3 linked regions of the Saccharomyces cerevisiae S288C genome follow. The protein of the gene in region 1 interacts with the protein of each later gene in a biochemical or structural test. Each region holds a gene or a part of one and is shown on either strand. Other genes may lie near its edges.

Evidence for each region.
Region 2: the proteins of PEX15 (region 1) and PEX1 form a complex in vitro, tested with the Saccharomyces cerevisiae proteins (3 studies listed by BioGRID).
Region 3: the proteins of PEX15 (region 1) and PEX6 form a complex in vitro, tested with the Saccharomyces cerevisiae proteins (4 studies listed by BioGRID).

What each region holds. Positions count from the first base shown.
Region 1 is NC_001147.6:245,333-249,123, forward strand, and holds PEX15 (Pex15p), read left to right. Parts: upstream 1-1,817; coding exon 1,818-2,969; downstream 2,970-3,791. Other genes in the region: serine/threonine protein kinase PSK2, read left to right, coding at 1-1,470; bifunctional N-glycosylase/AP lyase NTG2, read right to left, coding at 3,060-3,791. UniProt on the Saccharomyces cerevisiae protein: Peroxisomal docking factor that anchors PEX1 and PEX6 to peroxisome membranes. PEX26 is therefore required for the formation of the PEX1-PEX6 AAA ATPase complex, a complex that mediates the extraction of the PEX5 receptor from peroxisomal membrane.
Region 2 is NC_001143.9:70,028-76,003, reverse strand, and holds PEX1 (AAA family ATPase peroxin 1), read left to right. Parts: upstream 1-2,138; coding exon 2,139-5,270; downstream 5,271-5,976. Other genes in the region: MIA40 (Mia40p), read right to left, coding at 1-183; palmitoyltransferase YKT6, read left to right, coding at 470-1,072; putative serine/threonine protein kinase PTK1, read left to right, coding at 5,784-5,976. UniProt on the Saccharomyces cerevisiae protein: Component of the PEX1-PEX6 AAA ATPase complex, a protein dislocase complex that mediates the ATP-dependent extraction of the PEX5 receptor from peroxisomal membranes, an essential step for PEX5 recycling.
Region 3 is NC_001146.8:18,835-24,777, reverse strand, and holds PEX6 (AAA family ATPase peroxin 6), read left to right. Parts: upstream 1-2,144; coding exon 2,145-5,237; downstream 5,238-5,943. Other genes in the region: EGT2 (Egt2p), read right to left, coding at 1-730; MDJ2 (Mdj2p), read left to right, coding at 1,504-1,944; histone deacetylase RPD3, read left to right, coding at 5,476-5,943. UniProt on the Saccharomyces cerevisiae protein: Component of the PEX1-PEX6 AAA ATPase complex, a protein dislocase complex that mediates the ATP-dependent extraction of the PEX5 receptor from peroxisomal membranes, an essential step for PEX5 recycling.

The DNA of each region.
Region 1 (3,791 bases):
GACTCGTTTTACACTTCTATTGGTCTAGACGGCTGTCACAAAGATGGTAATTTGATAAAGGTGGATGTTCAATTACGGGTCTTGAATACGAATGCTGTATTATTATGGATTACACACTCAAGAGACGTGGTCATTGAAAATTATACCACCGTTCCTTCGCAGCTACCGATGTTAAAGGAGAACGAAATTGATGTCGTTGGCAGTAGAGGTAGTTCCAGTGCATCTTCCAAGAAATCTTCGGAAAAAATTCCTGTGAATACTTTGAAGGCAATGGCTGATCTGTCGATTAGCTCCGCTGAAACGATTTCTAATTCAGACGATGAAGTAGACTTAAATCAAGTGAATGAAAAACTACGAGAAACTTCTTGCGGTAAAGTGAGAGGTATCGAATCTAATGACAACAATAACTATGACGATGACATGACAATGGTTGATGATCCTGAGTTAAAACATAAAATTGAATTAACGAAAATGTACACGCAGGACAAATCAAAATTTGTAAAGGACGACAACTTTAAAGTGGATGAAAAATTTATAATGAGGATAATTGAACCGATAAACGGAGAAGAAATCAAAAAGGAAACAAATGAGCTAGACAAAAGAAATTCTACTTTAAAAGCTACGTACTTGACTACTCCAGAGGCTAATATAGGCTCACAAAAGCGCATAAAGAAATTTTCTGATTTTACTATTCTGCAAGTGATGGGTGAGGGTGCGTACGGTAAAGTCAATTTATGCATTCATAACAGAGAACACTATATCGTGGTCATCAAAATGATTTTCAAAGAGAGGATTTTAGTAGACACATGGGTGAGAGATAGAAAATTAGGTACTATACCTTCTGAGATCCAAATTATGGCGACCTTGAATAAAAATTCCCAAGAAAATATCTTGAAGTTATTAGATTTTTTTGAAGATGACGATTATTATTACATTGAAACACCGGTCCATGGAGAAACTGGTAGTATTGATCTATTTGATGTTATCGAATTCAAAAAAGATATGGTTGAACATGAAGCTAAACTGGTGTTTAAACAGGTAGTCGCTAGTATAAAGCATTTACATGACCAAGGAATTGTTCATAGAGACATAAAGGACGAAAATGTTATTGTTGATTCTCATGGCTTTGTAAAATTAATCGATTTCGGTTCGGCTGCCTATATCAAGAGTGGACCATTCGATGTTTTTGTGGGAACAATGGACTATGCTGCACCTGAAGTCCTTGGTGGTTCCTCTTACAAAGGTAAACCACAAGATATTTGGGCTCTTGGTGTGCTACTTTATACCATAATTTATAAAGAGAATCCTTATTACAACATTGATGAAATCTTGGAAGGTGAATTAAGGTTCGATAAATCGGAACATGTCAGTGAAGAATGCATCAGTTTGATAAAAAGAATTTTGACAAGAGAAGTTGATAAAAGACCTACTATTGATGAAATATATGAAGATAAATGGCTTAAAATCTAGTTTTCCGTACTCTCCAAGATAAAGGGAAAGAATAATTTAATCCATTTTCATAACCATTTACCTTCATAAATGTTCTATTCTTTTTTTGGCTATATATTAATTACATTTTTAATATCATATCATTGCTCTATATCCTTCTTGTCCAGCCTCTATGCAGTATTTTCTTTCATTCTATTTTGGGGCAAACTTCTGCGCTGAGCGGCTTATCGCCGTCGGAGTGACATCAAGTACCATAGAAAAGTCATCGTAGACTTACATATTTAGGCAAGAGAAATAGTTAGGTAAACAGAAAGAGGCACTAGCAGAACGTACTACGGTGTGGTTTATACAAGAGGGTTCTGTGAATAATGGCTGCAAGTGAGATAATGAACAATCTGCCTATGCATTCCCTCGATTCTTCTCTAAGGGATTTACTTAACGATGACTTATTCATTGAAAGTGATGAATCGACCAAGTCGGTAAATGATCAGAGGAGTGAAGTATTTCAAGAATGTGTGAACCTTTTCATAAAAAGAGATATCAAGGATTGCCTAGAAAAAATGTCTGAGGTTGGATTTATTGATATTACCGTTTTCAAGTCCAACCCTATGATATTAGATTTATTTGTCAGCGCCTGTGATATTATGCCCAGCTTTACCAAATTAGGTTTAACACTGCAGAGTGAGATTTTGAATATTTTCACGTTAGATACCCCTCAATGTATTGAGACAAGAAAAATTATTCTCGGTGACCTCAGTAAACTTTTGGTCATCAATAAATTCTTTCGATGCTGTATCAAGGTTATTCAGTTTAACTTAACTGATCACACCGAACAAGAAGAAAAAACTCTGGAGCTTGAATCCATAATGAGTGATTTCATTTTCGTATACATAACGAAAATGAGGACAACTATAGATGTAGTTGGCTTACAAGAATTAATCGAGATATTCATCTTTCAGGTGAAGGTAAAACTGCATCATAAAAAACCCTCACCGAATATGTATTGGGCGCTTTGCAAAACATTACCTAAGTTATCTCCAACCCTAAAGGGCCTTTACTTATCTAAAGATGTTTCCATAGAGGATGCTATTCTGAACTCAATAGATAATAAAATACAAAAAGATAAGGCGAAGTCTAAAGGTAAACAAAGAGGAGTGAAACAGAAAATACACCATTTTCACGAGCCTATGTTACACAATAGTAGTGAAGAACAGGTTAAGGTTGAGGATGCGTTTAATCAACGCACCTCTACTGATAGTAGACTCCAGAGTACTGGAACGGCGCCCCGTAAAAAAAACAATGATATTACTGTTCTGGCTGGTTCATTTTGGGCTGTCCTGAAGCATCATTTCACAAGAAGTGTGCTGAACAAAAACGGACTTCTGCTCACAGGTCTGCTGCTACTCTTATGTTTGAAAAAATATAAGTCATTGATGGCAATTTTCAAACATGTTCCAGCGGCCTTTCACACTGTATACCCCCAGATTGTAGGGTTGCTAAAACTTCTAGCGAGTATATGAGAAATATTTGAATAGTTTATAAAACCCTACCTACTTATTTTAATGACATACATAATGGTTTTTCATCTTTTTCCACAATGAATGGTGGTTCTATTTTTTCTTGTGTCTTTCTGTTGTAATTCCATTTGTAACCGTGTCCAACCAATGCGAATATACTTTCTCGATGTCTTCTTTGTCCTCCAATTGATGAAATTTGGAAGATTCGATTAGCTTCTCATTGCGAGCATTGCAGACATCGTTTGCTAGACATAAATCACACCTCTTACCCCTGGCCATGCAGATCAATTGACCAAATCCAACCAAAACGGTGTTTATTTCGTACCACAGTGAGTGAGGTAGCCAAACCTGTAACTCCTTTCTAGTATGCTCGGCAGTCTTACACTTAATAGGGTCTACCCAATTCCACATTTTACACAGCCTATGGACATGAACATCGACGCATATGCCGGCAATCAGCCCCCAACCTTTTTGCAGTGTTAAATATCCCATTTTAGGTCCAACTCCAGGTAACGAGAGAATTCCCTCTATATCATACGGTATATCTGAATCGAAATTGTCTACCAATAATTGTGCGGTTCTTTTGATGAAATTGGCTTTTCTGGTATAGAAGCTAACGCATCGAATTAGATTTGCTAATACAGGTTCATCAATTTTAAGCAGTCCATCTAGCGTAATACCCTCTGCTATTTTTAATGTGTTTAAGCAGTATTCGGTGATATTCAAAGCCGCTTGCGCCATCCTTTCGTCCCTCGTTTGAGCAGAAAGCATAGTGCCAATAAGAAATTGAAGCCTGAAATTCTTTGGATCGACTTTTTCACTAGG
Region 2 (5,976 bases), on another chromosome or scaffold:
TAAAGCACCAGCCATAGAAAGAATCCCCATTATAAAGCCCGCTGTTTTTTCCTGATTGGAGTTCCTACCGAACTGAGGGGAGGACGCCATGAGACGTCTTGTTTGGTGTCGGCATAACCCCCTTGCCACTTGAATTGACGGCCTGTTTCTGCACGCATTCCTGACGACTAAGTTGCGAAGCATTTTACTGATAATATACACTCTTTGGATCGAGCCTACTTCCAGTTGGTAATTGGTGTTCCACAATTTCAGCATTATATGTTTTTAAACCAAAATTCGGCTCCTTTTCCCTTTTTTTCTTATTGGGTGGCGTGCCGTACAGAACGATTGGCTTGGTGTGAAATCAAGAGCAAGCACAATAGATATCAACATGAACAATATACAAAAGTCTCTGGCACAGTTTGACTGCGTTAGACCAGGCTAGGGCATTTCTGAAGCTTTACGTATCACTAGAGAAGTTATTTTGGCAATGAGAATCTACTACATCGGTGTATTTCGCTCTGGAGGAGAAAAGGCTCTAGAGTTGAGTGAAGTTAAAGACTTGTCACAATTTGGTTTCTTTGAAAGGTCTAGTGTTGGCCAGTTTATGACTTTTTTTGCTGAAACGGTCGCTTCTAGAACTGGTGCAGGACAAAGACAAAGTATAGAAGAAGGCAACTATATTGGCCACGTTTATGCCAGGAGTGAGGGCATATGTGGTGTTTTGATCACCGACAAAGAATATCCTGTCAGACCAGCATACACACTATTAAACAAAATATTGGATGAATATTTAGTCGCACATCCTAAGGAAGAGTGGGCAGATGTGACTGAGACCAATGATGCATTGAAAATGAAGCAACTGGACACTTACATTAGCAAATATCAAGATCCTTCACAGGCTGACGCTATCATGAAAGTTCAACAAGAACTGGATGAGACGAAAATCGTTTTGCACAAAACGATTGAGAATGTTTTACAAAGAGGTGAAAAGTTGGATAATTTGGTGGACAAATCGGAGTCATTAACGGCAAGTTCCAAAATGTTTTATAAGCAAGCTAAAAAATCCAATTCGTGTTGCATCATCATGTAGATGCATCCACACACTATTTTCAGCATAGTGTGGCTTTTCATCTGCTTTATGTAATTTAGAAAGCCAATGACAGCAGCAAGGGAAACAAAAATCTTTTAAATCAAATTAATTGTTTAAATAATATACTATGTAAGCATCGATTCTCCTAACTATTATAACCAAAGGTTGATTTGAAGCCATTGGCATTGTATTAGAATTGATTTGTTTCTTCAGTGTAAAAAAGTTAAAAATAAGCGACCCCAGTGAGGGTTGAACTCACGATCTTGCGATTAACAGTCGCACGCCTTAACCAACTTGGCCATGGAGTCTAATTGCTATATTTTTCTTTTGAAAACAAGATATATAAATAATGCTTGAGCTGGAGCATTTACGTTGTAAATGTATAATTAGTGTAAGAAACCGCTGGGCCCTATTTGTTGATGAAGTATTTACTTAAATGTAACAGAATATACTGGAAGTCCCCCCTCGGGCACATGGAAATTCACTAAAAGGAATTGGTAATGCATATGATATTACTACCGTTTCTCATTTCACTTTATATGCTTTCAGTGATTGTGTTACTACGTGACAGTTCTTACAATTCAGCGCCGTTACTCTCTATGAGTGCTCTCATTATTTATATCATATTCTTACACTTCATACAATTATATATACTCGTACCATGGATATTAGAGGATAGTTGGTTTTTGTTTAAACTAATTCTATGTAACCTCGATGGCATGAGTCCATAATACTGTACTGGCGTATGCCCTTGTTTGTGGTCTTTGTGCAACCATTTCAGGCTTTCTTATTTGCACAGGGCAGTTGCGACCCTGATAAAAAAAAATGGCTGATCAATCGGCGTGGACAAAAAAAAACATCGATTTCTATATTCATGGTAATCTGTCGAATTCTCCAACCAAGTTAGCTGGACTTTATTGTCTTATATCCGATTACTATCGCGATTTATTCTTGTGCGTAGCCGCAATTATAAAGGTCCGGAATATCTCTCCGACTATTGTCATCGTCGAATTTCTTCTGGAAGGGACGGCAGTAACAAGAAACACCTGAGGAACTGCTCTTTCAAATGACGACGACCAAGAGGTTGAAGTTTGAGAATCTGAGAATCCAATTCTCCAATGCCATAGTAGGAAACTTTTTAAGGTTACCGCATTCAATTATAAACGTGTTAGAGTCAACCAACTACGCTATCCAGGAATTCGGTATAGCAGTCCATTCTCATAATTCAGATATACCTATTGTTCATCTTGGATGGGATGGCCATGATTCTGGATCGAGTGAGAATGTTGTTCTTATCAATCCTGTTTTGGCCACAGTATATGATTTAAATCAAAAGTCTCCATTGGTGGACTTATACATCCAGCGATATGACCACACACACCTGGCTACGGAGGTGTATGTCACGCCAGAAACGAGTGATGATTGGGAAATTATCGATGCCAATGCGATGAGGTTCCAAAATGGTGAGATTTTGCACCAAACCCGTATAGTTACCCCAGGTGAGACTTTGATTTGTTATTTGGAAGGAATTGTTACAAAGTTCAAAATTGACAGGGTGGAGCCATCAATGAAGTCTGCGAGGATCACAGATGGTTCCTTGGTTGTTGTGGCACCAAAAGTCAATAAAACACGTTTGGTGAAGGCTGAGTATGGTCATAGTAATAAGACAATACTAAAAAATGGGGCTATCCAACTTTTAAAGAAGGTAATATTGAGGAGTACTGTGTGCAAAATGGACTTCCCTAAAGATAACCTTTTTGTCGTATATATCAGTGACGGGGCACAATTGCCTTCTCAGAAGGGCTACGCTTCTATCGTAAAATGTAGCTTAAGGCAGTCCAAGAAAAGCGATTCAGATAATAAATCAGTTGGTATCCCTTCGAAGAAGATTGGGGTTTTTATAAAATGTGATAGTCAGATACCCGAAAATCACATTGCATTAAGCTCTCATCTTTGGGATGCATTCTTTACGCACCCAATGAACGGAGCAAAAATCAAACTAGAGTTTCTACAAATGAATCAAGCAAATATAATATCCGGAAGAAATGCAACAGTCAATATCAAATATTTTGGCAAGGACGTTCCTACCAAGAGTGGGGATCAGTATTCTAAGTTGTTGGGCGGGAGCTTATTGACCAATAACTTAATACTTCCAACAGAGCAAATTATAATCGAAATAAAAAAAGGTGAATCCGAGCAGCAGTTGTGTAATTTGAATGAAATTTCCAATGAATCCGTTCAATGGAAAGTAACCCAAATGGGTAAAGAAGAAGTTAAAGATATTATCGAAAGGCATTTGCCTAAACATTACCACGTCAAAGAAACTGGCGAAGTTTCGCGCACTAGTAAAGATGAAGATGATTTCATTACGGTAAATAGTATCAAGAAAGAAATGGTCAATTATTTGACATCGCCTATTATTGCCACACCAGCTATTATATTAGATGGTAAGCAAGGGATCGGTAAAACAAGGTTATTAAAAGAGCTTATAAATGAAGTGGAAAAAGATCATCACATCTTCGTTAAATATGCGGATTGTGAAACATTGCACGAGACATCAAATTTAGATAAAACCCAAAAATTAATTATGGAATGGTGTTCTTTTTGTTATTGGTATGGTCCTTCTTTGATTGTGTTGGATAACGTTGAGGCTCTATTTGGAAAACCTCAAGCCAATGACGGAGATCCTTCTAATAATGGCCAATGGGATAATGCAAGCAAACTTTTGAATTTTTTCATCAATCAGGTGACAAAGATATTTAACAAGGATAATAAACGAATCAGAGTTTTATTTTCAGGCAAGCAGAAAACTCAAATTAATCCGCTATTGTTTGATAAGCATTTTGTTTCAGAGACGTGGTCTTTGAGAGCACCTGACAAACATGCAAGAGCGAAGTTACTGGAGTATTTTTTCTCGAAAAACCAGATCATGAAACTAAATCGAGATTTGCAATTCAGTGATTTGTCGTTGGAGACAGAAGGATTTTCGCCACTAGATTTGGAAATATTCACAGAAAAGATTTTCTACGACTTGCAGTTGGAAAGAGATTGTGATAATGTTGTAACAAGGGAACTTTTTTCGAAGTCGCTTAGTGCGTTTACACCATCTGCGTTGCGTGGAGTAAAGCTAACAAAAGAAACGAACATCAAATGGGGGGATATTGGTGCTTTAGCAAATGCCAAAGATGTCCTTCTAGAAACCTTAGAGTGGCCCACAAAATATGAGCCTATTTTCGTTAATTGTCCCCTAAGATTGAGATCAGGAATCTTGCTTTACGGTTATCCTGGTTGTGGTAAAACGCTTCTGGCGAGCGCCGTGGCACAACAATGTGGGTTAAACTTTATCTCCGTTAAGGGACCAGAGATTTTAAACAAGTTTATAGGTGCCAGCGAACAAAACATAAGAGAATTGTTTGAAAGGGCACAGTCCGTCAAACCCTGTATTCTATTTTTTGACGAGTTCGATTCTATTGCGCCAAAGAGAGGGCATGACTCCACTGGTGTCACAGACCGTGTAGTCAATCAATTATTGACCCAAATGGATGGTGCCGAGGGCCTTGATGGTGTATATATACTAGCAGCTACAAGTAGACCTGATTTGATTGATAGCGCATTGTTAAGACCGGGAAGATTAGACAAAAGTGTGATCTGTAATATACCGACTGAATCAGAGAGGTTAGATATCTTGCAAGCTATCGTCAATTCAAAAGACAAGGATACGGGACAAAAAAAATTTGCATTGGAGAAAAATGCAGACTTGAAGTTGATCGCTGAAAAGACAGCTGGTTTTTCGGGTGCTGATTTACAGGGGCTCTGCTACAATGCTTATTTGAAATCTGTACATAGGTGGCTGTCTGCTGCAGACCAATCGGAAGTGGTACCCGGCAATGATAATATAGAATACTTCAGTATCAATGAGCACGGGCGTAGAGAAGAAAATAGACTACGGCTAAAGACTCTATTGCAGCAAGATGTGGTGCACGAGACAAAGACAAGCACTTCAGCTGCTTCTGAGCTGACAGCTGTGGTCACAATAAACGATTTATTGGAAGCCTGTCAAGAGACAAAACCTAGTATTTCAACAAGTGAGTTGGTCAAATTAAGGGGGATTTACGATAGGTTCCAGAAGGATAGGAACGGTGAGATGCCCAATGGTGAGAATTCCATCGACATTGGTAGCCGACTCTCCCTTATGTGAAAAGGAAGAAGAAAAGAACAAAGCGCGTTTCCCTTTAAAGGGCAAAAAATGCGGCGCACGTTGCTTATTACGTGACATGACCCTATTGTATTGTGCGAGCACGCAGGACGGGAAAAATATTGGTGAAATTACATAACGCATTTTTTTTCCCTTGTGGTGAAAAGGAAAAACCCGAGAAATATGCCAGTAACAGTGGAGACCGGTCAAGATGTATTGAACGAAATCCGAAGTTGCATATATAACATAAATGCCTGCTACCTTTTGATACTTAATTCTTCTTAGCACCTATACGCTTTTTTTTTCATTTTTCCTTATCTTTTCTTTTTCTCGCAGAAGTCTATACAAAGAAGAAATATATATATATCTATTTCTTTTTTTTTTCAACCGTATACCACCGGCAACAAACCTCCATGTATTCATAGGCCCTGCATTACATCAAGAAATATTAGCATAAACGTATAGACCATTTTAACGCCACAGGCAAGCATACGCATTAAATCGCACCACCAACCAATGACAGTCTCACACAATCATTCTACGAAGATATCCCAACAACCAATCTCCTCGGTATCAGCATTTAAGTTCTTCGGAAAGAAGCTGTTAAGTTCAAGCCATGGGAACAAGTTGAAGAAAAAGGCGTCTCTACCTCCAGACTTCCACTCTACAAGTACTAATGACAGCGAATCCTCCAGCCCAAAACTGCCGA
Region 3 (5,943 bases), on another chromosome or scaffold:
TTTCATCTTCTGTGGAGTAGTCATGAACAGTTGTATATGGGATAGCATTAATAGGTTCGTTAAAAGAATCAACGGCAGTGACAACCTCAAACTTAGTTAACGAAGTATCGAATACGTAATCTGAGGAGGAAGATGTCTGAGAAGTCAAATAAACGGGATTTCTGAACGTTCTCATTGGTAAGTCAACGGTAAACCAGGCGGTATTATTAGTTTTGTATATACCACCATCTGTTGTTATAGCAGAAGTATTTTTAGCGACGTAATCAATAACGTCATTAAACATAGTATTTTCTGAATAGAAACTGTAAACGATGCTTTTTGGTTCTGTAACTTTGGATTTAGCATCTGATGTAAGCTGTGCAAGGAAGTTAAATGTAGTAGTTATATCTTCTGAACTCTTTTCTGGAATAGAAATGGTGAAATTGTTCGTCGATTTATCTGGGCGTGATATCGTGGCAACACTGTTAGAATTATGTTTTATGCTGAAGGGTTCTTGAGGGAATGAGCTGAAAGCATCTGGTACTTGGAATGTTATATTTTGCTGACTTCCCTTTGGAATAGACAGTTGCCCTTCTATTATGAACCAATGATCTGGATCCGTACATTCTTTTGTTTTGGTATAACTATCTGTTATTTGAATATCTTTTAAAATCGGTTGCGTTTGTGTGAGAGCGTTTGCTAGGCCGAGTATCGAAATGACTCGTACTAGATGTAACAATAGTTTATTCATTGTAGTGTTTTATATTATGCTTGTTTATGTTGATTCTACTGAAAGAAAACCATCAGAAAGTTTGAGTCTAAGGACACAAGTTTTAGGTCGGCAAGAATGTATTCTGCTTTTATATTTGTACTGTTATGGACGAATAAAAAAAAAACAAGCCACATTAAAAAGGAAGTACTAAATCGTATTCTTAGCATCAAACCAGCATCTTACTCATAAAAGCTTGAGTACCTTTTCGGAAGTGTCAGCCGAAAGTGTCAGTAAATTAGTCCCTTGTCAGCCTGCTGTTTTTCCTCACGGCGCGGAGCCAGCGCGTCCGAATTAGGAAAATAATAGAGCCAGCAAGAACCATTTCACTAAAGAGGTTACTAAAGAGGTTACTAAAGGAACCAGCAGAGGCTATATTAGTTGTGAATGGTACCATTCTATGCATAAATTTATTGGGATATGATCCTCCATGGTGGGACTTCGTTTAATATCAAATCCTTAGCACTGTTTTTTTTTGCTTTTTCTTTTTTGTGTTTCTTTTTCTTTGGCAGGGAAACGACATATCCAACATCCCATACACTATTGATCTTCGTTATGGCATTACTGCCACGCTCAACGTCATTTTTCGTCTTGTAGCTTATTCTCTGATTATTGTTATTGCAAGAGGTAAACGCTCATTGTGAATAACAATTTCGGAAACGGAGATACAATCTAGAAAAAAATAACAACAAACGAATTCGTTGCTAGGATCCACTCAATACACAGTATAGCCACAAAGAATAGGATATTCCAGCATGGTTTTGCCTATAATAATTGGTTTGGGCGTGACAATGGTTGCTCTAAGTGTCAAGTCTGGTCTCAATGCATGGACCGTCTACAAGACCCTGTCCCCTTTAACTATTGCAAAACTAAATAACATTCGCATAGAAAACCCGACGGCGGGCTACCGCGATGCACTTAAGTTCAAAAGCTCACTGATAGACGAAGAACTGAAAAATAGATTAAACCAGTACCAGGGAGGCTTTGCACCGCGAATGACAGAGCCCGAAGCCTTGCTCATCTTGGATATCTCCGCCAGAGAGATTAATCACTTGGATGAAAAATTACTGAAAAAAAAGCACAGGAAGGCTATGGTTCGTAACCACCCAGACAGAGGAGGGAGTCCCTACATGGCGGCCAAGATAAATGAGGCGAAAGAAGTTCTCGAAAGAAGTGTTTTACTAAGAAAGAGATAAAAGAACTTTATATATCATGTAGCCAATTGCTACACTTCCTTACACCACATAGTATACGGCGATAATCGTCAACACTTCCGGGAAAGTGCGGCCATCGGAGACTTTCAAACAAGTCATTAGAATTAGAACAAAGAACAGTAGTGGAGAGCATATATGTGTTTGCATACCCTCCAAAAGAAAGCGATTATAGTAACATTAATATGAAGGCATCGCTTACGTTTAGTCTCTCCGGAATATACGCCCCCTGTAGCATTTCTAGGGATATATATCTCGAATACGGCGATAAAAAAGCTGAATGTTTATATGGGACAATTAGATTGCCTCAGTACGGTCCAGGTTGCACGCCTGGTAAAATTGTACATTGTGTCCTGGATGATTCACTGCCCTTCTGTAGCATTGTTGTACCTTCCAAACTTTTTGGGTTTATGCCGACACAGCCCACTATGGATTTTTGCTATTTTGAACCCATATTAGACAATGTAGTACCTGTACTGGATAGCGTAACGTTTCTGATTAATGAACAATTGTACTCAAAACTAATGGACCTACCGCAAGAGATGCAACAAATACAATTTTTGCATTACAAATATAACATCAACTCCATGGAAACCGTGGTTCATTCTCGAGATATTTTAACATCTGGTCTTTGCCAAATTTTAAACTGCTCACCTTTCCCGCAGGGCCTTGTTGATTTTACAGAAACCCAATTGATATTAGTAAATGATACTGAGCAGAAACTAAGTGCTCTAAAATATGCTAACGAAGATGAAGAATATGCATTACCTAAAATAGGGACAAATTCTGCTTTATCAATTGATCTTGAATCTCTCCCCTGCACAATTTCAAGAGATCTTTTGCGACCTGCACCTCACATCAATGATGATAATTCAATATATGCCTTTACAGACGCTGAAACTCTACTGCGCCTGGATGTCACAAGTGGATCGTTTATAACAGTGTCAAATATGGGTTGCGTCAGGCTAGTTAAGCTGTTTGTTTTACTACTCCCCAACGGCTTTAAAAAAAGAACAATATACGCACCTCCCAAAATAATAGCAAGCTTTCCAGACTGCAGCGTCGTGACAATATCAAAGTCCAATATAGGCCATACAGATATTCCCATTGCTAATCAAGTTTTCATCTCAAGAGTTGGAGGCTGGCTTCAATCTCAGAAATGCTTTCAAAATATTATTCTAACAACCTTGAAAAAGTTTTTTAGCGAGAGCAAAAGGATTCTTTGTCAAAATGATTTAATCCCAATCGCTTTTGATTCAAGTATGGCTGATCTCAATATAGCAGAGGAAAATGATGAGTCTGATGACGAAGATGAGCTAGGGCAGTACTACAAGAACGATTCCCTTGTATGGTTCTTTGTCACAAGCGCAGAGCTCGATTGCTTCTCTAAAGATAATTCTCATTTTATTATTGATCCCAATCGGACGAAGCTAATAACAACTAATATCACTAACAGAAGACCATTACCCTTGAGTAGATCCAATCTTCAGAGATATTACGGTTTTGCTGAAACTTTTTACTATGATTTGCATATCTTCCCCTATGTAAGACAATTGGTTAACATATTAGAAACTTCCTTCAATTGTTCTCAAAGGGGAATCACCCTAAATGCCTCTGTGTTACTTCATTCCACTACAAACAATGTGGGCAAGGCTACAATGGTGAGATTTGCTTCAAAATATCTTGGTATACATCTACTGGAGATAGATTGCCTTTCGCTCACTTCAAATTCAAGACAACTGGATTCAACATCTAAGATTATTGGTTACATTAGGGCTAAATGTGAAAATGTCCTACCGTACGCATCACCTGCTGTGATTTTTTTGGCTCATTTGGATTCAATTTTGCTTGACGTAAACGCTAATCAAGATCCAGAGGCAATCAAATTACAAAAATCTATAAACTTCGAAATGTCTAAACTTCTGGACGATTTTACGTTTAAATTCCCAGGAACTACATTTGTTGGCTCCGTAAATAACATAGATAACGTGCCTTCCAGCTTTAGATCACATATGAGATTTGAGATTCTCGTACCCGTTCCGTCTGAAGCACAGAGACTGCGTATCTTTCAGTGGTACTTATCTTCACATGAACTAAACAGAGATGTTCAACAAAAGGTTCCAGTATCTTACATGGATAATATTTCATTTTCATCACTCTCTTCATATTCTGCTGGTTTAACTCCTTTAGACATCAAATCAATTGTGGAAACGGCACGAATGACGGCTACTGCGCGTTTTTACCAAGAATCAAAGAAGTGTGGATGGCTTCCGCAATCAATTTTGATCACTCAGGAGGATTTATCAAAAGCTACTTCGAAAGCTAGGAACGAATTCTCGGTTTCGATTGGTGCCCCACAAATCCCTAACGTAACTTGGGATGATATAGGTGGTATTGATTTTGTTAAAGGTGAAATATTGGACACAATAGACATGCCGCTAAAACATCCTGAATTATTTACCTCAGGTATGAAAAAGAGAAGCGGTATTCTTTTTTATGGTCCACCGGGTACAGGTAAAACTCTAATGGCTAAGGCCATTGCAACAAATTTTTCTTTAAATTTTTTTAGTGTTAAAGGCCCTGAACTGTTGAATATGTACATTGGTGAGAGTGAAGCTAATGTGCGCAGAGTGTTTCAAAAGGCGAGAGAGGCTAAACCTTGTGTCATATTTTTCGATGAAATCGATTCAGTAGCACCCAAACGTGGTAATCAAGGTGATTCGGGTGGTGTTATGGATCGTATCGTTTCACAGTTACTAGCAGAGTTAGATGGTATGAGTACCGACGCTGACGGTGTATTTGTTATCGGAGCAACAAACAGACCAGACTTATTGGACGAAGCACTACTAAGACCAGGACGATTCGATAAATTGTTATATTTAGGCATTCCGGATACGGATACCAAACAATTGAATATTTTAGAGGCTCTGACTCGCAAATTCGTGCTCGACAACGACGTAAAGCTTATTGAGTTGGCAAAGCTATGTCCATTTAATTACACCGGGGCAGATTTTTATGCTCTCTGCTCAGATGCAATGCTTAACGCCATGTCAAGAATTGCACGCATGGTAGAAAAAAAAGTTTCTCAGCATAACGAATTGACGGGAGAGAATATTTCTACACGTCGCTGGTTTGATAAGATTGCGACAAAAGAGGATACTAAGGTTGTCGTAAAAATGGAAGACTTCTTGAAAGCACAAGAGCAGCTCACCCCAAGTGTGTCGCGGGCTGAACTGAATCATTATGAAGCGGTGAGAGCTAATTTTGAAGGTGCTTAAGTAATATCAACTCAGAGCGTATAGGTAAATTTGTAAATATATGTCCCATATTTTGCCTTGAAATTTATCTTTTTATTTACTTACCCTCCCCGGCTCATAGTATCTATCGAAAGGGAAAAACAGAAAAGATACTAGTAGTTGATTATACATAATAAAAATTTGAAGTAATAACCATAAAGGTTCATAAAACAATTGCGCCATACAAAACATTCGTGGCTACAACTCGATATCCGTGCAGATGGTATATGAAGCAACACCTTTTGATCCGATCACGGTCAAGCCAAGCGATAAAAGACGCGTTGCATATTTTTACGATGCAGACGTTGGGAACTATGCATATGGAGCAGGTCACCCGATGAAGCCGCATAGAATAAGAATGGCACATTCCCTTATTATGAATTATGGCTTGTACAAGAAGATGGAAATTTACAGAGCTAAGCCGGCAACGAAACAAGAAATGTGTCAGTTCCATACTGATGAATACATTGATTTTTTATCGAGGGTTACTCCAGATAATTTAGAAATGTTTAAAAGAGAAAGTGTCAAGTTTAATGTCGGAGATGATTGTCCTGTCTTTGATGGGCTCTATGAGTACTGTAGCATATCTGGTGGTGGCTCTATGGAAGGAGCTGCTCGTCTGAATAGAGGCAAATGTGATGTTGCTGTCAACTATGCGGGTGGTTTGCATCATGCAAAAAAATCGGAA